Linked DNA regions of Oryzias latipes. The protein of the gene in region 1 purifies or fractionates together with the protein of each later gene. This does not show direct contact. Links are inferred from orthologs where the notes say so. Each region holds a gene or a part of one and is shown on either strand. Other genes may lie near its edges.

Evidence for each region.
Region 2: the proteins of nuak2 (region 1) and ppp1r12a purify together in Homo sapiens (affinity purification with mass spectrometry; 3 studies listed by BioGRID and IntAct, counting the BioPlex papers as one, with this or other methods). This does not show direct contact. The link is inferred for Oryzias latipes from reciprocal best matches to the Homo sapiens genes NUAK2 and PPP1R12A.

What each region holds. Positions count from the first base shown.
Region 1 is NC_019863.2:2,245,297-2,256,358, forward strand, and holds the start of nuak2 (NUAK family SNF1-like kinase 2), read left to right. Parts: upstream 1-3,893; 5' UTR 3,894-4,093; coding exon 4,094-4,288; intron 4,289-8,391; coding exon 8,392-8,512; intron 8,513-8,880; coding exon 8,881-9,032; intron 9,033-9,812; coding exon 9,813-9,878; intron 9,879-10,022; coding exon 10,023-10,275; intron 10,276-10,365; coding exon 10,366-11,062. UniProt on the Homo sapiens protein: Stress-activated kinase involved in tolerance to glucose starvation. Induces cell-cell detachment by increasing F-actin conversion to G-actin. Expression is induced by CD95 or TNF-alpha, via NF-kappa-B.
Region 2 is NC_019881.2:19,249,107-19,260,056, forward strand, and holds the start of ppp1r12a (protein phosphatase 1 regulatory subunit 12A), read left to right. Parts: upstream 1-3,913; 5' UTR 3,914-4,024; coding exon 4,025-4,261; intron 4,262-10,950. UniProt on the Homo sapiens protein: Key regulator of protein phosphatase 1C (PPP1C). Mediates binding to myosin. As part of the PPP1C complex, involved in dephosphorylation of PLK1. Capable of inhibiting HIF1AN-dependent suppression of HIF1A activity.

The DNA.
Region 1 (11,062 bases):
TTTATTCATTCATTAATTGATTCAATCATTCGTTTATTAATTTTATTTATTCATTCATTCATTTATTCCTTCATTCATTTATTCATTCATTTATTCATTCTTTCATTTATTCATTCATTCATTCATTCGTTCGTTCATTTATTCATTCATTCATTTATTCATTCATTTATTCATTCATTCATTCATTCATTTATTCATTCATTTATTCATTCATTCATTCATTCATTCATTCATTTTTTCATTCATTCATTCATTTATTCATTCGTTCATTTTATTCATTCATTCATTGATTCCTTTGTTTATTCATTAATTCATTGATTCATTCATTCATTCATTCATTTTTTCATTCATTCATTTATTCATTCGTTCATTTATTCATTCATTTGTTTATTCAGTCATTCATTTATTCATTCATTCATTTATTCATTCATTCGTTTGCTCATTAGTATTCTTACTAATTTTTTTGTTCATTAGACTCTATGTGTTTGTAAACTTTAAATAAACTGATAATGGACTCAAACATGTAAACTGACAGATGTTTTTGTTGATCAGAATTCTAAAGTTCATGAAACACGTCCAAAGTCGGACCTTTGATAATCATGTTAGATTGCTGTCTAATTTTTAGGATCCCATGCACTTCTAACAAAAAACTATGTTAGACTTTTTTATTTTTACTCCCCAATTATTTTTCTGAAGAATACTTTGCCTGCCCACACTAATACATCTGCTGTATGTGGTCTAAAATGGCAAATGCACAATATCAAGTTTATATTCAACGCCTGTAAAAGGTTCCTTTACTTTTTCTTTTTTTGCTTATTCTTATTGAACTAAGTTTTACTGTCCTTTAAACTTTATTCAATATCAGGTTTAGCAGACAATTACTAAGGAAAGCATTTAATTTACCAAACATGGTCCTGAAAGCATTTTCTTTGTGTCATGACAGAATGTAGGCAGTGATATCTATGCCAACACGTTGACACAAAACTTTCTAAGTTGCAAATGAAAATATTTAATATCTGCTTTCACATTTTGTTTGCTTTCAAATTTATTTTTTGTTTGCTTTAAAAAACTTTTTTACACTTTTTTTTTAGCTTTCAAATTTAATTTTCTTTTTTGAAAAATTTCCTTGCGTTTGATGGCAGCTTTGACACAGTAAAATGAACCAAATAAGCAAAATATAAGACAAAATGCATGCAAAAAAACTGTTTTGCAAACAGAAAAGTATTGTTTGAAAAAAAAAATTGAGAGCAAAAAAAAATTTGAAAGCAAAAAAAGGTTAAAAGATAGATTTCTTGAAATAAAAAAAAACCTGAAAGCCGACAAAAAATTGAAAGCAAAAAGTAAATTTTTTTGAAAGCAGATATTTAATACTTTCATTTGCAACTGAGAACGTTTTGTGTGCAACATGGTGGCATAAATATCACTCCATAAGGAAGCAGCTCCAGAAAACGTTCAGCTGGAAAATTGATGGGCTCCCTCTTGTGGCGTTTTAAGGGATTACATAAACATTCGACCATTTGAATGAGCTTCATCCGCCTTTAGGGAACAGAGTGGTGTCTGTCATTCATCTATTATCTATATTTAAATTTAAAAAAAAGAGTTGAATGAAAATGAAGACATGTGCAGACGTGTGAGCTTTCTGTCACAATTGTCTGATCATCTGGTTTTCAATTTTGTTTGGTAGGTCATGAATCAACGGACACTATTTTATTCCCAGAATTGAACAGAACTGACTTGGTTCCTGAGTTCAGTTTGCTCTTTGCCGTTGTGTTGCTCTGCCTGCATGAGTGAAGGGCCTCTGACGCTTCTCCCTGCCAAACTGACAGGCGGGCCCCTGAGAGGTTAGGGGTTAAAGAGACAACGTGTGAAGAAGCTGATCCGGATGAATCCAGCAAATGAAACAGGCAGCTTGCAGCCCCACTTTGGGTTTGTGATGCTCTTTGCTCCCTCATGTCAGAGTTGGATGTTTTTAGGTGGGTCTGAGGAAGCTAACCAGAGGATTTCTGTTTTTGGATTATTTTTCCTGTCATCCTTTTTGAATTTTAGTCAAGTAGAGAAAATGTGAGAAAGTAACATTTATAAACTTATAGATTTACTGTAAAGGAATATTACTCGTAACACAAAACATTATTGAAGATGTCTACTCTTACTTTATAAGAATATTGAGTAATATTTCATTTTTCCCTTTTAACATTACCATTTGACAATTGGTTGTATTTTTTTTTTTATCTACACTCATCTGAAAGGCCTCCAGTGATTTTATTGATCCATAGCATCAAAATCTGCTGTCTATACACTTATAAAGACTTATAAAGTTTTTCCCTTTTTTAAACAACTCATATTAAATTATAAACCAGAACTAAGAAGGTTTTTGTTGTGTGATACTTTAAATAAAAATGTCGTTCACGTTGGTAAATGCAGATATTGTCATGTGAGGGGGGAGGCTCGAGAGCCGCTTGGACCCAGAAGCAGAGGCGGGAGGCAAACAGTTCCAAGGCCAGGGGGTTTAATAAACAATCAAACAAAAGGCGCTGCAGAGCAGGATGACAAAACAAAAACCCAGTGGCGTGGCATGAAACATGGCATGAACGGACGAAGACACATGAAGACGTTAAACACACGACCAGAAGTTAATGGACCAGCACAAGAGGAAGGCAGAGACAAGACAGGTGAACACGATCAGGGCAGATGGGGACCAAAGGAAGTAAAGCACAAGTAACAAGACAGGAAACCTTTCAAAATAAAACAGGAAACAGAACCAAACAAGACAGAACAAGAACTAAAAGGAAAAAACACGACACAACAAACTCAAACCATGACAGATATTCCCTGATAAACCATCTTTGGACAGGGGAAAACATTTGGATGCATTTTCTGCTCAACACTTGCTTCAGAAAAGTGAGTAAAAAACAAAAATGGAGTGAAAGATATCAGAGATGGGAAGAACGGAGACATACATGACTTGAGAAAGTGCTAAGCTTGGACCGGGCTCAATTATTGTTGACAAAAAGCAAATGTTGGACATTGCAAATTTCCTGCCAATCTGGTTCTCTTTGACCCAAACGGGTTACAGCGGATGAGTTTGGTTCTGCTTTTTGGCAGAAGTTGGGGTACATCCTGGACAGGTAGCCTGTTTGTCACAACATTCACATCTAGGTTCTATTTAGAGTCATCCATTAACCCACGAAGCATGTTTTTGAACTGTGGGGGTGGAACTGGAGAAAACTCCCACATGCACAAGGAGATTCCACCCGGGATTTGAACGAGGGCCATTTGCTGTGAGGCAAGCGTGCTAACCACTACACCACCATGCAGCTCAGCTATGAAAAAAATCATAATTAAATTGTGGTCTTCACCGTTTTTTTCTCTCATTGAAATGTTTTGATATAAATATTGATGGGACAGTATTGTGTCGATACTTTATGTGTAAATTGCATTTCATTGCTGTATTTTAAGTGCAGCTTGTGTTAATTTGTTGTTATTTATTTATTTCCTTGCTAACAGTCAAATGAGTGTGTTAAAAAAAATAGGAATAAAAAAAGAAAAGACTGTAAATGACAGACATTACAGTAGAGTAGAATTCACTCAGACTGCTTTTCCAGTTCTTGTTCAATGGTGTGACACAAATTAGCCACGTGGTGGCGCCACTGCTCTAAATGGGATTACATTGTGTAATTTGACTTTAAAAGCACACGTGTGTGTGTGAGCGTTTGTGTGTCTGCGACGGCAATAGGAAATAAAAAAATAGTCTAACACAACAAAGATTCAAAAAGAGAATCTCGAGTTGCAAATTCGAAAAGTGAGGCCGCTTCTTTTCTTGGAATGACATATCCTTCCGCCAGCTGAGGAGGTCCCTGTGACGTAGCCGGTCGGGGGCGGAGCTTCGCCCTCAAGCAGGCTACCTGCTGATCGGGCGCTTCAGTCTGCGGCGCCGCAACAGCTGACACGTTTCGACGGAGCGGCCCGCTTTGGAACTTTATGTTCGGTTCCGTTGACCCGTCTCGCAGGTTTTAGAGGAGTTAGCGGAAGAGCTCGCGGAGGAATGCTCTTTGAGAGCACGTGCGTCCCGTCGTGAAGAGCGGAGAGCCTCAGCATGGACGAGCCGATCTCCGCCGCCGGCCGGTCTCCGGCGTCTGCCGGGACAGTCCCACCGTCCCCGGGGAAGAAACAAGCCGTGAAGAGACACCACCACAAACATAACCTGAAGCACCGGTACGAGTTTCTGGAGACGCTGGGCAAAGGAACCTACGGAAAAGTCAAGAAAGCCAAGGAGAGATCGGGACGCCTGGTAAGGACTCGATCACCGGTGTGCAGCACCGGGTCACCGTCCGGTAACGGCCACCTGTCGTTAAAGACACCGGGCTATTTTTAGAAGACACACAATCTGCCACATCACAGTTTGAACAAACGAATTAAAGGTTTGTCTGACAAATAGACCCAATAAAATGCGTGCTGAGTTCAATGAACGTCTTTTTGCCCGGATTTCTCGCTCTTTTTCTTGAACCTTTTCGCCTGTCTGCAGTCCAGAAAAAGCGGCGGTTTCAGATCTGACCGAGATTGGGCCGAATTTAGCATCACTTTACGGAAAACGTCATGAAGTTGCACAAACATTTGGAGATAAGCATCTCGTCTCGGGTCAAACAGGAAGTTTTGCATCAACAACTTTAATTTGGTGTGCACATGCGCAGAGGGAAAAGGGATTTATTTTTATTTGAACCCCTGATTTATACAATTTCACAGCAACAGTCTTAAACATCAAAATCAACCAAGAAAAGACAAAAAAAAATGACAACCTTAAATAAAACAAAAACTAGGAGTAGAAGGTATTCTTCTTGCATTTTTATCTTTCATAAATTTAAGTGCAGTAAAATGTATTCATAAATCTGCTTATGAAATAAATTAACAAGTAGTTTGATTAAAAAAATGTTTTTGTGATTTAAAATGTATTAAGTAGTAATACCCATTATTCCATTATTATGAGATTATTCCAAGAAGTATTTGCTTCTTTCCTAATTTTGTATAACAGGAAATTATGAGCAACACCAACATTAGCTGTCTTCCCCAAAACTATTGACGATGCATTTATAAAATAAAATGTTATGGAGAAAAGTTGTCTGTATATTAAAGATACACTCCAATAAAAAAAGTGTTTTTTAACATGTTCTTTTATCACGTTGGAGGACGTATGTAAAGGAAATGAAGGTCAAAATTGCATCTCCGAGTATTTCTTTATTCAAATCGTTGTGAATCAGGAGCAGATGAAAAAATGCAGTTGGAAAAAGCATGCAATGAATCAGGGAAGTTGGGTAGTTTTTGCTCTCGGCGTCCCGGAAACGAACCTGTCGGGTAAAATCCTGTTCCACGTGACCCAAGAGAAAATGGAAAGTATATAAAACAGACCGGAGAGAGATGGCCTTGATAGAAACTAAATAGCCTTTAGAAAAAACCCCTGAAATCTTTCACTTTTAAACCTGAAATCTTCAGGAAGAGACTTCATAGAAGTTGATTATAGTCAAACCGGGACAAACTTTGAATGTGTTGCAGAACAACACTTTTAACACTTCCAAGTAAAGTTACTTTATTTTTTCCCGACAATATCAACAATTTACATCAAAATCTAAGACCCAACAGTCGCCATTTAAAGGAAGTTCGTTGATTGAAAGTGTTGTCTGGAACAGAAAGGAGGGAAAGTGGCTGTTGGAGCTGGGAATTCCCCCCGCGGAGCTGCATGAGGCATGCAGGCCTACAGGTTGGGTCATGCTCTGCCTTTTCTCCGTCACCCATGAGCACTGCTTTAACAAGACATGACTTAGAGTCTGAGACTGCCTCTGTGAACGCCCTGTTGTCCCAGCGGCTCTCAACGACACACAGAAACGCCGCAGACGTCCATGCACAGGTGCAGAGAAGGACGCAGGTGTGTGCTCCTTTGTCTGCATCAGCGTGGTGGGAGGGGCTCAGCGCCATGGCTGTGATTCTGCGTCAGTTTTGTGTTGTGTAGTGTGTTATTTTGTGTTGTGACCCTTCTGGGCCACGTACTCTTCGGTGATCTGACACCCCTCCTACACAGCCGTGTTGGTGGGGAACTTCTTAACTTGTGCTAAGTTTGGGAAAAATCCTGCGGCGATGACCATTTAGGGGAGAGAAATCAATCACAAAAACCTGCATCTTAACAAATCCAATGTTGTTGTTTTTTTCACCTATTCAGCATAGATGTCTAAAGAAAGTGATGAACAGCCTTGACTAATGTGTTACACGTTGCACACAGAGCTTCACTGTCACAGGTTTGGTTTCTGTTTTGGTCTAAAGTGTGTCAGTGTTTATGGACTCCTTAGAATCGGAAACTCTTATCTGTAAACAGCGTCTGGACTTGAGGAAAAAATAGTGACTTACGAAAGCTCATTGGCGGTGAAAGCTGGTGTGAATGGGCTCTTATCGTCAGGACATTTTTGGATAAGAAAAACCTCGTATGAGTCATGGATTTGTATTCTTTTTAAAATGTTTTTAACTAAATCTGCTCTTCTCATACAGGCCAGTGTTAGTATATTTACTATTTTGGGAAAAGCTAAAAGTAAATGTATAGTTTTTTAATCCTAAATACAGAAAACATCTTTTGTCACGGACATTTCTTGTGGGTATCTTCATGTTCTGCTGTCTGCGTTCAACCACACAGAGGAAAAGTAGGCTCAGCAGGATTTAGCCGGTCTGTAGTGTTTGACCATAGGAACAGGGTTATTTATCAAGAAAATCCATGAACCCCAAATATTTGCATAGAAAGTCAGTGTGAAATACTAACATTTTACCCTCTGGGTGGCGATTACGTCTGTCGACCGTAGGATACGAAGAGCACTTGCACTCAGGGAATCCCACACGGGTGTGAAATCCCCCTGACTGAGACCTGACCTGAACCTGTCTGGCAACAAACGCAGGAAACCTCGCCTCCCAGAACCAGGAAGTGGGTCTGTACGGTGTGACCACGGCACTGACCCCGGAGGAGGATACACGTCAGGCGTTGACTCACTGCAGAAGACAAAAATGATACGGCTTCACTCATGTCCCCGTCTGTGTCCAAAGCCGTGAGGGCCTCAGACACACCAGGAAAGGAGGACGGCTCACAGGCCGGGCCATCTGCCGCCTCATGACTCCCTCCGTCTCGGGGGAGACTGATGACGCACTCGGCGCACAGAGGAATCCCAGGCATCCAAGGTCCAGATAGACACCCACGGCTTAAAAACACAAGCCTTGGTGAATGTAGAGCAAGCGGCCGTTATCTAGGTTGACGTGTTCCTCTGTGGGCCTTGAAGAGTCTGTGGCAGACAATAGAGGGTTTTTTTTGTATTTTGAAGCTGGCATAGCTCGACCTGGAGTCCCCGCTGCCATGTTGGAAACAGAAAAGCAGTTTTCGCTCCAGCGCCCTTCACAGTTGGTCAGCGTTTAGAAAGACGGGCCTTTTTGTTCCATGGGGGCTTATTTGTAGATGTTTACAGCCTGTTGAGCTGAACACACAGGCTTAAATTAGCATGTGTTTGTTTTTCTTCACCAAAATAAATGTCCAGTTTTCTGACTTTTGTTGAAACGCACCTCATCTGCAGCATAAACATGGCTGATATCAGACTTCAGTGGTTTAGAGATTTGGTTTACCGGTAGGAAGCCCATTGAGACAGCAGTTGCTGTGATTTTGGGCTAAATAAATCAAATTGAATTGAATTAAAGACCCAGTCCAAAGAAAATTGTGTTTTTAAAATGATTTTGGGGCATTTTTCTCATGGTGGAGGAAATGTATAAAGAAAATTAAGATCAAAGTTGCATTTCTGAGTATTTCTTCATTCAATTCGTTGTGAATTGAGGAGCAGACAAAAAAAAGGCTGTTTGAAAACGATTGGATTTGTGACAGAAAATACGATGGGCAGGCCTGGAGCTCCATTCTGATGCCTTCACTGTCAGACAAACAGATCCATGAACGTCTTTGTTTTCCTCGTCTGAGCTGGAATCTGGACGGCTGGATGGCTCTGCTATGGCTGCCATTTTTGTTGCACTGCTAATGCTAGGTTTGGGGGGGGGGGGGGGGGGGGGCTGTAAGCTAGCAGGAGAGAGTGTAAGCAAAGGGATGATGGGAAAGAAGGTCAGACTTACTCCCCACCAAATGTCCCACCCACAATTCAGAGGCGAATTTCGAATGAACTCCTGCCGCTCTGCAGAAACTATGTCCCAGGAGGCTAAAACCAGCATAATCATAAATAAAAGAGCACTGGGAACACTTTGACAATAAATCAAAAGATGATCATATTTGGTTTTTAAGAATTCTTTCTGTTGTGCATTTTCCATAATGAATCCCAAAGAAGTCAATTATGTTTATAAATTGAATTTCCTTTGTGTCTCTCTCGTCTTTTGAAGGTTGCTGTGAAATCCATCAGGAAGGAAAAGATCAAAGATGAGCAGGATCTGGTCCACATCCGCAGAGAAATTGAGATCATGTCCTCCATGTGTCACCCGCACATCATCAGCATATATGAAGGTGCGTGTTCAGGAACGCTCGGGTCTCATGGTTTCATGGCTGGGCGTCACATCCTGCGTTGCGCGCCGGAACCTGATGCCCGCTAAAGGAAAACCATCTTCCTGTCACGGCCTGAGTGTGGTCACGCAGCTCTTTGTGCTGAAGATGGTGCTTGGTTACGTAAGCGCAGACACGCCGCTGAGCGCTGGGAGATAATGCGTGGCTTCATGTCCGCCAGCAGCGGCTCTCACGCTTGATGAGAAGGCCATTATCGGTGCTTCTGCATCACAGCTACACGATTATCAGCCAGCCGTGTTGTGAGATTTGCTTAGAAGGTTTGTGGAACAAACACTCAAATGGACGTTTTCTCTGCTTTTTTTTCCTTTCAGTGTTTGAAAACAAAGACAAAATAGTGATTGTGATGGAGTACGCCAGCCGAGGAGATCTGTACGACTACATTTGTGAAAAGAGGAGACTCTCTGAACGAGAGGCCCGGCATTTCTTCAGGCAGATCGTTTCCGCTGTTCACTACTGCCATCAGGTGAGGAGGGGGTTCCTGGTTGGCATCTGGACGCACCGCCCCCACATGCACATACATACACGCACACAGGCACCTCACATGCACATACATACACGCACACGGGCGTGCATACAGGGCCCGCCATGCTGCTGCCATGAGGGGCGGAGCTTGTAACCAACCGTCTATGGGGGGCTGCAGGAGGAGCGAAAGGCCAACCGGACTCGGCGCACGCATGGTCTCACAGTTTAATGAGGGTGTGAAGGAACAGACCCCCCCTCCCCACAGGACACACAAACACACAACAGCCAGTTGTTCTTCAGACCTAAGCTGCAGCATGGCTGTTCAGCACTTTTTGCAGCATTCCAACTGTTTGCTCGAGCATATTTGCTGAGTGAATGGCCCTGTGCATCTACCATCTGTGGTGTTTCACTTTTATGGATGGCTAAAGTCTTTTCTGGTGTTTTGTTCATTTGTTCACCTCATTTTATCGCTTTTCTACTCTGCTTTCTTTTCGATTCCAACTCCTGACCAAAAGAGCAAAACCAACAAGAATTTTTTTTTTAAGACACGGCCGACTTTAATTCTTGAGAAAAGTCATTGCAAACTCGTTTGAGGCCAAGAAATGCCCCCCTGCAGCGCAGAGGACAATGAAGCATAACTGACGTTGACATTTGCAAAGAATGTGCCCTCGCTCTGTTAAAAACTAATCCTGTCTGGTAGCTTCCTGAAACCAACGTTTAGAGCTCCAGGAGAGGGAAATGTATGCAACTTAAGGCCAATCTCCTTATTTTTTCTTTCTAGAATGGAATAGTGCACAGAGATCTGAAACTGGAGAATATTTTGCTAGACGACAGGGGAAATGTAAAGGTAAGCACAATGATTTTCTGTTTTTATAGAGCATCCTCTGTGGGAAACAAAACAAAAACTACGTTTTAATGATTGAAAAAGTGAAATAGTCTTTTCTGTCTGAGAGTGACATGTTGGAAACGTTTGCTCCCTTGTCTTGAGCAGATTGCAGACTTCGGCCTGTCAAACCTCTTCTACGGCGACGAGTTTCTACAGACGTTTTGCGGGAGCCCTCTGTATGCCTCCCCAGAGATCGTCAACGGACGGCCATACCGCGGCCCAGAGGTGGACACCTGGTCGCTCGGCGTGCTTCTGTACACATTGGTTCATGGAAATATGCCTTTTGATGGAAACAACCACAAAACTCTGGTCCAGCAGATCAGCACTGGAAACTATCGCAAACCTAACAACCCCTCTGGTGAGTTTTAGGGTTGGAAACGTACAACTTGCACGCACGGCCAAAGTTAAACACAACATTAACCCGGTTTTCTGCTGTCTGTTCCGTCAGATGCCTGCGGACTCATCCGTTGGATGTTAATGGTGAACCCTGAGCGCAGAGCCACAATAGAAGAAATTGCTGGGCATTGGTGGCTCAACTGGGGCTACCAGCAGCCATTACTGTGTGAAACAAAGAACGGTGTGGTTGATCAGAGCGTCACGCCGCCACCTCCACCAACAACACATTCCACAGGCCTGACTAGTGTTGCTACGTGGCTGCGACGCACTTCTCGACCTTTACTGGAGAATGGTTCCAAAATGCGCTGTCTGCTCCGCTCGCAGGCTGGCGGCGGGGATGTGGTCCGACAGAGATCCCTGCGAAGGTCTCGTAAGGAGAATAACGTCTCCCAGACGGTGCACGATGGAAACACAGACTCCAGGCCCTACAAGGGCATCCTAAAGAGACGAAACAGCATCAAACAGAAGGCAGGGAGTGAAAGCACCGCTGCTTCAGTGGAACCTCAGAGCACTTCGGGTGCCTCTGCTCAGGGTCACGGCCCTTCAACAGCATTGTTGCCCCGTAAAGGCATCCTAAAGAAGTCCGCAGAGCAGGAGTCGGGGTACTACTCCTCTTCTCCTGAAAGCAGTGATTCTGGCGTGTTACTACAAACTAAACAGTGTCCTTCCGCACCAACTCACAGAAAGGGCATCCTGAAGCGTAATGGGAAGTTCTCTTCTGGTGGCTTCCAAGAGTTTGGCTCTCTAGA
Region 2 (10,950 bases), on another chromosome or scaffold:
TGAGGAGATTCACAGTTAACGTGGTAAACAAGGGCCTCTTCTCAGGGATAAGTCATAGCTGCTGAGGGCATTGGCACTGCTGTCATACTGCTGTGAACACGCCCACACAGTAATGGTTTTGAAGCCCCACTCGTTTGTGAGTGGGATTTTAAGGTGCTGATGCACTGGAGACCCTCCTCCCACAGAGTTATTCTTTTAATTAGCGGGAGCAGCAGATCAAAGGGACGGCTAATGAAAGACAAGGATCTGCATGACGAAGTAAACACGGCGATGGATGCTGACGAAGCCTCCATCTATCCCCCTGATGTGTTTAATGAATCATATGGAGTCACACCACTAATCTCTATTATTTGAATACTGGATATAAGGAAGCGGTGTGCGAAAGAGGCCATGAAGTGAGCAGATCCCTGATCGTCATCCTAACGCCAGAAGATTTTGTGAGAACAGCAGGCAGTTGAGAATTAGCTTAAGCGTAGCCTGTGCTGTTACCAATGTCACTGAGACCAATAGAGCTGCATAGTGGTCAACACAAACCAGAGGCATCCAAGACAGCTGGAGTTAGCAAGAATAAAACTAAAAGTTTCAGCTGTTTGATTAGCAAGCCAAAGAAAAGTTCAAGTTACTAAACACCCGCTCCAATGAAAATGGTGTTTTTAGAATGTCATTTTAAGAATAGAATTCTGTTCCTGTAGCATTTGTCTGATGATAGAGTACATATAGAAAGAAAATTAAGCTTAAAACTGTATTTCTAAGTATTAATTTATTTGAATCCCTGTGAATTAGGAGCAGACAAAAACATGCACTTTGAAAAACATCATATTTGTGATGAAGAAAATATTCTGGGTGGGCCACAAGCTTCCTGCTCCAAGCTCTTAGCAATGGAGACAGGGAGGGGGGCGGGGATGCTCCTCACCAGCAATCCCACCCACAACTCAGAGGTGAATTTCTAAAAACAATAATAATCACGTTTTTTTTTTTTTTTGGTGTTGTGTTGTTTCTAAATGTTTCTAAAGCCTCTCCTGATCTTTTATCACTGTTTTGGAGGTAGGTATGTTCTCTTTTTTTCTTTTTTTTTTTGCATTTGAGCCCCTTTTTTCTTTAAATTTGAGATTCCCTTGTATTTTTTCATTAATGTGATGTAATCAAAGCAATCTTTATTAGTACAGATCTTTTATTGTAATGTAACACAAAGTGCAAACTAACAAATAAACAAACAAACAAATATAAATGACTGCCCTAATATTTCCCACCCCTTGAATCAGTGGAGGTGAATATTGGGCTCTAGGTGATACACTGAAATATGTAAATGCACTTGTGTCTAAATTAGTTGATTCAATTAGATGACCATGTGAAACTCTTGGTTTTTCCCAATGCTGTGATCACTGCCTGTCTAAAAAGATGGATGTGGTTTTCCTCATTGTGTGTCTGTGGGAGCAGGAGGAGGGGGAGGAGGAGGGGACAACAAGAGGGGGCAATGCAACCAACTTGATGCAATTTCTTTCTGTTTTTTGACCTCCCACTTAAGATGAAAGTGACATCCACAAACCTTTAAGGTCCCTGTAAACTAGAGGATTTAATGAGTCCCCCTCCCCCTCAGACTATTTCATTTTCCTTTTATTTCAGTCTAACAAATAAAATGAACCATTTACTTTGTTGTTCATTATGATTCCTTTCAAGCTTCTACATATTCTGCTGCTTTTCCATCTTTACGTCGGGTTCTGGACGCGTTCTTCACATTGACATCACATAAATTCAAAGCAGAGACATTGTGGATAATACTCATCTGAAGCCACATTGTTGAAGTGAGACAAAACAAATCTCTGCATAGCTGATTGTTAAAAAATTAAAAACATTTTCTCATCACTAGAGATCAGCTGGTCACTTTATTGTGGCTGTTTGTGATGGACAGTCACAAATCTCACATCTTGTTTTGTTTTATTGGTCTGGATGTTGAATGTGCTCATGTCTTTCTGTTTCACGGAGATGGCAGATTTATGGAGATTTACAAAATAAAAGACAACATTTTAAATGGTTTTTCTAGTGCATCAAATCATTTTGTTTTTTAAACATGTGCTTTTGTGACACCTGTGTTTGACTTGCTCCACATGGATTAAGGTCTGTTTCTCTGCCAAACAGTGATTTCCTCATCACTTTCCCCTCAAACACTACTAACATCAGCGCATTTTAGGCCAGCAGCTTCCTGACACTGACGTTGGTGTTCCACATCCCCGTGACTCAGAAGAACCGCAGCAACTTCCCACTACAACCTCTAAAGACTGAGCATCAGCTGAGCTGCTCCTCGGTGTGTCTCAGCCTCATGTGCACAACATCTGCAGACCGTAAATAGGCTCTTTGCAGTTAAGCCTCAGTGACACATAGAACAGCTTGCTGATGGGAGACTGTTTATTTTTGCACATTGGCTCATGGCCATTATTTCTAGTGTTTGTTTTGAATAATCATTCTCGCTGGAGTCGTTTTTCTGGACGTCGGTGGGTTGGTTGCATCAGGCATTTACAATTTTCGGGCACGTTTTCATGTGTGATGACAGTTCTGTGCTGAAGAAAACAGCACTGAATGCACATTTTATCCCTGTGACTTGCATGCAACAAACTAATAGCACACTTCCTACTGAATATGCACACTCCCCTGCCAACAATTTAGTGGAAAAAAATAAAATAAAAAGGGAAACTGTTTTTAATACAGGTCGATGTGGACCTCCTTTGTGCTTGAGTCTACATTCCAAGCTCACCAAGTGCTATCCATCTAATCACTGCAGGTGAAACTGGTTTTATTTTTACTCTTTGAGCGTCGTGTTTTCTTTTAGACTCAAAAATAACCTTGCATATGACAAAGATGGAGGAGAGATTTTTGGATGCACCCATGCATGGAACAAAGGGATCAAAAGGGGAAATACCTGTACAGTTAAAGTTTGTTTAGTTTGCAGGAAAAAAATCCCTTTGCTTCCTAAAATGAAAAGAACAGGAAACAAGTCCCCTCCCATTTGAAAGACTTTGATAATAATAGAAGTGCGAAAAAACAAGATGTCTAATGGAGAGATATGCAACTCAGTCTTTACAATGAAACAAACAGATCACGATGTGTTTTAGCCAATATAACAAGTATTTTTTTCCGTGTTGGTACCCATGTAGGTAAAAAAAATACATATATACAGTATATATACATATTTTTGTTTTGTTTTGTTTGTTTGTTTAAAACTAAAAAGGCAATGGTTTGTGGTTTAAAACATTTTCGGTTCAATAAAAAACCTTTTCTTCAAGTCTATTTGTAAACATTATCATACATTTTAGAATTTGGCTGCATTTAGCCTACCAATAAACACCTTTTTGTATAGGTTACCTTTACACAATGACTATGACGTGCCGTTACTTTTCATAATAAAATACACCACTATAAAAACCCGGTATAACATATTTTAAAATCCATTCAGAAAGAAGTAAGGTGCTACTAAAAGAAAGCAAGAAACTTATTTAATGAAACCTGAGAGTTGAACCCCCAACAGACTGCCTGGTAAATGACCCTTAGACCTGTAAGCTTTAAAGATGTTGCTTTTATTTTGTTCATTTATAGTTGGCTAATTAGTCAAATTCCCCCCCCCCCCCCCCTTCATTTTTGGGGGAAAAATATTTAGGTTAAATTTTATTCTTTTTTTGTGAAGTTTTGCGGTTTGATCATTTCATTTGTTGTTTTAATGTCTCTAACATTTCAATTTTTTCTTTTATTTTTATTTAGCAGTGATGCATTTAAAAATTCTTCATTGCTAATTTTGTTCCTAGGGGCTACCGTACATTTCCTCCACTTTCCTCATATCTGCTGATGGTGACGTATACTGCAGAGCCTGGATTTTAGTTCTCGCGAGATTTTGTCAAACAATTCAGACTTCTTTCGCTCAGTTCCTCCTCCTCCTCAGCCCTCCCTTCCCACGCCCCAGTGCGCCCGTGGGATAGTGGCACTATAAAGTATATCCTCTCTCGGAGAAAGATAAGAAGCCCGAGACAGGAGGGGGATGAAGATGGCGGACGCCAAGCAGAAAAGGAATGAACAGCTAAAGCGATGGATGGGCTCGGAAACGGACCAGGAGCCTCCTGTTTTCAAAAAGAAGAAGACGAAGGTGAAGTTCGATGATGGCGCCGTGTTTCTGGCCGCCTGCTCAAGCGGCGATACAGAGGAGGTGCTCCGTATGCTGGACCGGGGTGCTGACATCAACTATGCCAATGTGGACGGCCTCACAGCGCTCCACCAGGTCAGTGCTCACCTGCTGTCTCCGTTAAAACCAGCCTGCAGCCCCTGCCGCTCTCAAACAGGGCTTTACAGCATGCAACTGCTTTCCCTGGAACACCTGTCAAGTGGAAGCCATTCTCATCCCGTTGTTTACCTACCGAGCCCTCTTCCTTTCGATTCGACGCACCAGGGAACAAGAAGCTTGCGCGGGGGATACCCCACAAACAGCTTTCACACACCTTAGCGAACACACCTGACGATTTTTGGCCAAGTTTCCCTCCAATGAATCCCTCTTTTACCTCTAAAGCGGGTCTGTGTATTCCCTGCTCTGGGTGTAGTCTAATTACAGTACATCATGTTAAAATTGCTACATGAAAAGCCCATTTAAATGAAACGTCAGTGTTTAATTTCTTGTCTGGTGAAGTTAAGTAACATAAATTAAATTTATGTCATAAAGTATCGACTTTAGTTACAAACGTTTCCATTGATAGACGCATCCCTGTTTGGGATTCTTGGTTTTATGGCAGTGGACGGCTGCTAGTACTACCTCACCTGGTTAGCAGTAAAAGTAGTTTTGTTGATAACCCCAAATCACAAATGTGGCTAGCCTTTTAGGACAGCGCGACAACCTTTTTTTCCTTAAATTGTTCTTTTGAAATAATCCCAAATTAGTTAAAGTCAAGTTTTGCTCAAAGGTTAGTCCAAAATCGAGCTAAAGAAAATGCTATTAAACTTGTATTTAGGGTTAGCTTAAGGCTGCTAGCATGCTAAGATAACTTGTTAGCTGTTGGACTTCATCGTCGCTTAATTCATTCATTTACACGAATTGTTTTTTGTTCTCTGAAATAGGACTTTTAATGACTTGTTTTTTTAAACAAATACTACCAAATACTGGTGTTTGGTTTGTTGGCTAAACCGGAAAGTCAGCCGTACCGAGCTGAGCTATGTGCCCGCTAACTACCGTAGCTTCGCTCCGTAGCTTTGGTGCTTACTGGATCACCAGACTTTGTTAGAGACTTAAGCGGTCGGATCGATGTGTTGGTAAGCCCCAAACAAATGACAGATTTAAATTCAACCTTTTAACCGACGATAGTTTTTATTTTTTTATTTTACCCAGTCATCACTTAATTGTACTAAGGAAAAAAGCGTGTTCTCAGAACAGCTATTAAGCTTATTTGTGCCACTCATAACATAATAAGCTAAGTATAAACTCTTTTTTTTTTCTTAGTAAAGATGCCCATGATCTACTATAACGACACTCCATGATCTGTTTTTTTTTTTTAAACAGAGAAAAAGGGGTTATTTTGTTTGTGTGCTTTTATTTTCGTAAGTTTGGCTGTCTACATTTTGTTTGTTTGTTCTAACATTAGGGACAGTCTGAGCTCACATTAATTGTTTAATGCTTGGTCATCAGCCATGTCATCACATTGCTCACATTCACATGTCTGGTCATAGATAGCTGCTCTTTTTCTGTTCTTTCTGTCAGCATTGTCCATATGGTAGAAGATTGCCAAAACCTGGCTTTACCTCCAGTCCCCTTTTCTATCTGATGTCATCGATGCTGCTAGGTGGACATTGTTTTATTTTTTGAAGTCTGTAGTGAGTTATTGGTTTATAACTTCAATAGAGCAAATATGGGGGCAAGCTGCTTTAAATCTGTGTATTTCTAGCAGTGAGAAGTGGGTGTTATATGCCAGCATGTGATCTCTGAGCAGTTAAGCAATAATAATGTGGGATTTAAAGATTATCTGTTCTTTTGCAGTCCAGGTTGGTTAACAGATGTCTGAGACATTATGATTTCTAACGTTATACCCATTAAAATCTACAGAAATGGACATGAGATACTGGCTTTTGTCTTATTCTGTCGTGATGGTTCTCTGCATGGTGCAGTGGTGACCCTCCCATTGCTAGTGACTGGTGCGTGGTTATAAATAACCTGTCCCAAGTTCTCCTAACTGGGTTTCAGGAGATGATACTAAGTTTGGATATGACTCACAGTCTGAAGCTGTGCTTTGTGCTGAAGCTCTGATATCATTCAGGCCAGAGGTTGACTTTGTTTGTAAATCGCAGACAAATCCAAACTTAAAAAATGTTGTGTTGCTGAAAGGCCTGTAAACATGCTTCCAAGCTGCTGCCCTGGCGTTAAAAGCCAACGGTTTGAGCCGTTCCCAGGCTGAACACTAACAAAAAGGATGCTGTGCATCTGAGATCTTGGGCATACTTGCCTAAAGACCCATTCCGATCCTCTTTTAATCTATTCTAAAAACATTCCCACTGGGTTTTCAGTTATATTTAGCCAAAATCCTGTCGTTCTCTAGGACGTAATTTCTACAGAGCGGCAGTAGTTCATTAGAAATTGGCCTCTGCGATTTGTTGTTGACCGTTGCTGAGAGCTCTCTGTTTATGCACTCTCCTGCTAGGTTACAACCCCTAACACCGTCAATCTAACATTACCGGTACCAGAAAAATGGCAAGCAAGCTATCTAGCTGTACAGTTTAGAGCCATGTTCCTGCTCAGACGAGTAAAACAAAGACGGACGTGGATCTATTTGTCTGCAAGTAGGTGCATCAGAATGTTGCAGAGCCGGGAGCTTGTAGTGGATTTTCGATGTTCAAAAATTATCTCATTTTTTTTATTTTTCAATGAAATGTTTTTGTCTGCTACCAATTAAAAAAGATTTGATTAAAGACAAACACAAGAATGCAACTTTAGACTTGTTTTTTTTTTTTTTTTTTTTAAATATGTGTCCTATTATGCGAAAAAAATTCTACAAGAACATGTTAAAAAATAAACACCAAAAACAAAATTTTAATCAGAATGGGTCCTTAAAACCCAACGGTAGAGGCCAAACCCAAGCTGCACACTAACAAAAGGATGCTTAAGACTTGAGATCTTGTGGTCATACTGGCCTAAAAGTCCAGATTCCTCTTTATTCTATACTTGTTAATAAATTATTTTAACAGTATTTTCCCCAGTTTTCAAAGGAAACATATTTTTTTGTTCAAAGAGTAGGTCGGTGTTACTGAGTGTGCTTTCAAGACCTTAGTTAGTTTCAGATTCAATCAACCAAAAAATGTCAAACGTCTGGTTTATATCGTTTCAAAGGGGAATATCCCCTCATTGGTGTGGATGGAAAAAAAGATGAATGGAGATCGGACATTTTTGCTTTAAATTTGTCCATTTTCAGTAAAGAAATGATCAACATTTCCTGCACAAGTGAACTGAAATACTCTGACTAGCAAAGAAAAGGTGACATTATGGTCATTTAAGAGCTAATAATGAAGATAATTTGATAGAGATAACCGAGTCAAAGAATGTCATTACTAAACTGTAACATTGTTGTGAAAAAATCATTAGCGACATAGGAGGAAACTGTAGAAGCTTTTTGCATTAGTAGAGATGAAGAGTTGAGCATCATGCCATGTGCACAAACATTTTCCAGAAGTTTGAGCTGGAAGCTAAGGCATTCTTCTCATGACTGTCACTGGAAACCATAGCAAGGAGAGAACAGAGGAGACATTCCTCAGCTGTCACCTAAAGCCCTCCCTTCCACGCAGGCTTTTGGCTTTCTATCCGTTTACAATGCCAAGGTCCAGCATCATCGGTGGAACGGCGCTAGAAAACCTTGAGTCTCACTTTGGAAAATCCTCAGACTAACCAGCACCAGAACGGTTCTGCTGGTGTCATAAACTCCACCAGTGATTCAGATTCTGATGACACGGCTCGCTTAGTGTGAAAAATATATTTCTGTTCCCTGTTGACATTGTACTGTTACTGTAGCCTTGAGGTCCTCAAACATTATCTTGCACAGTCTCCATGGCAACGGTTGAAAGGGTTGGTAGTTGCTTGTATTGGAGGATTTGCATGGACATTGTGGGAGTTGCATAACGGACTGCGAGTGGTGAGTGTTTGGCTGAAATGAGAGTCGGCCTCAGCAAATCTGTAATGGAACAAATCGCAGGGCACGCGGCGGAAGATGTCCAGATTGGCTGCATTTCTTTTGATCCAGGTCATATCAACACGTTACGTAATTGCCGTAGGTCTCCTCGCAGCCTCTGAGGTTTGTTTTGACCATGAGAGGAGCAGAGAAACAACAACTTTGACGTGTCCTTTTCCTCCTGATAAAGCCTGCATGACATCCACTTATAAGCCCCCAGAGCTGCCTGACTGCTCCAGATAGGAAACGAAACCTTACAGTCCCACATGGATAGTCAAATTAGCTTAGACTGCCATAACTAATACTATTGCATCATCTTGACCGTGCAGTTCAATGCTTTTTTTCTTTTCTCATTTGTTCTGCAGATCTTCTGATTTATCAGGCGTTCAGGTCAGTGTTCTGCTTAGGAAGTCCAAAAGGGAAGTCACTGCAAGAATGACACTTCGAATTATTCATTTTTATGCATAAAATATTAATATGAAAGCATAAAATTGAATTCATATAGTTTTCCCTCTTTTCTTGGGGATTGAGACAAAATGCGATGCCTAAATCTATCATTTAATGTCTAGAGGGATATACATTTATAAATGGGCTCATGAAAGTGAACTGTAGTCACTTAGTAGAACCTTCTGTTCAATTTACAAATGATCTACGTAATAAAATTTAGAGTCAACACATTTAAGGTAAAGTTTTGTAAGTTTGTAGCATTATTTAACACTTTTTAAAAATATTGTAGTGGTTTTACTTTAATATTGTGTGTGCTTGATCCCCTTATGATACTCTTTCTGTTCTGGTTTAAACACATCACAGCTATGTGACGATGAACAGAAAGAATTGGCTCCTGGAAACGGATTTGGAAAAATCTTTTGTTTATTTTTGTCCCTGTACTCCTAACAAACCTTTCTTAAATTTTACTCTAAAACTCCCAACTTTTTTGAGGCAGCTGCTATTTCTATCACTGTTCTTTAGTGATTTGAAGTACAGTCTTTTTTTTCCTTTTTGTAATGCTAATGACCAAGTAAATGTGACGTATAACATTTTCGATACATGTGAAACATTATTAATTTCACATAAATCCAAATTTAATGCCATTTACAATAGGGGGAAAAAGGTAATGGAATTCCTGGTGTGGTGTTGAGAAAAAGAGAATTCAGAAATGATAGTAAACCTGTGAACAAGTTGGCTTTCCGGTTCAGCTTAAGTAATTTATAATTGATCTGATGCATTTGAGCAGCATTAAAATCTCAAAGAGTGAACCCTGTGAAAAAACAAAATTATTTTGTTCATCCGGTAACCATAAAAGAACCAAGGAGAGACTTTAAGAAGGTTTAGAGTGAAATGTTCACAACATTTTTTTGTACTGTCGTGATTTAAAAAAAAAAAGCCTTTTTAAGCATTAGGCACCACTTTAACTGTGATTGGTGAAGTCCCATTTTACATGAGCAGCTATCTCCTGCTCATGATCTGTTGGAGTGAAGGAGCTGAGGCAAAAGGCAAAGCTCTCGATTTCCCTCACCCCAGTCACCAAGGAGGAGCTCGGAGTTGAGCTTGTTCACATTTAGAGAAACCTGTTGAGGAAGCTTGGCCATCTCTATGGGATGCCTCCTAAATGACTCCCTAGAGAGGTATTCGGGGCTTGTCCCATTAGGAGGAGATCCTAGAAAGTCCCCAGACAGTCTGGAAGAAGAGTTGGTTGAGGTGGCTTGGGAATCTCTTTGGGCTGCCTCCTGAATACCTCCCTGGGGAGGCATTCTGGGCATGTCTGACTAGGAGACCCGGAGGGGAAGTCCTGGGACCTCCTGGAAGAAGAACCAGTCGACATGGCTTGGGGGATCTCTTTGGGATGCCTCTTGAATATCTCTATTGGGAGGCATTTGGGGCATGTCCAACTAGGAGGAGACCTAGGAGCAGTCTCTGGATGGCATTGAAGGAACCATATCTCTCAGCTGGCGTGGGAGCCCCCTGGGGTCCCCCTGGCAGAAATGGTTGAAGTTTTTGGGTGGATGCATGCATAAAACTTGCCAGCTGCTCATAAATGTCTAATGTAATGTTGAATATATTTGAATGTAGCTAAATAATTCATTGTCTGGAACCGACGGTGTCTAGATTTTATTGTTCTCGTCTGACTGGAGGAGTTTACCCCCTTTGTCCTCTCAAGTCTACCCATCCACGTCCATATCTCCCTTTGTTTTTGTGTCCAAGCATTTTATAGCTTAGTATGTGTGATGTTTGATCGCTAATCATTACTTTCCATTTTTAATACTACATATTACTTATCCTGTGATTTGAATGAGGCACAAATAAACGGAGTGGTCTTCTTTAGCAGAAGCAGACGCAAATGGCAAATGTATGAATTTAATCAGATGCGACAATGACCTGATCATAAAAGCATCCATTGTCCTTTTTCCTGGTGTTACTAACGCATTTATACTGTAGATGCAGACGTCTGACGCATTTCAGTCGACGCTATAACTTGAAATGCGTCTCGTCAGACACCTTTTTCCAAACTGACTGCAACCATTTTGGTGAATCACTTGCATTTTTTTAACCTTAGCATACCTCATGACTGACGTTAGAAATGTAGCTCTGCAACATTTATAAATCATTTGTACGTAATTGTCAGACGTTTGCAGTTTCATTCCACTCTCGAGCAAAACTATAATTAACACAAGGAAGTTGATGGCGTGTTTACGTCAACATGCCTGGTTACTCTGTTTTCTTTAATCGCTTTGATTTTGATTTGATTAGAAGTTTTGATTTGAAATGTTTTATT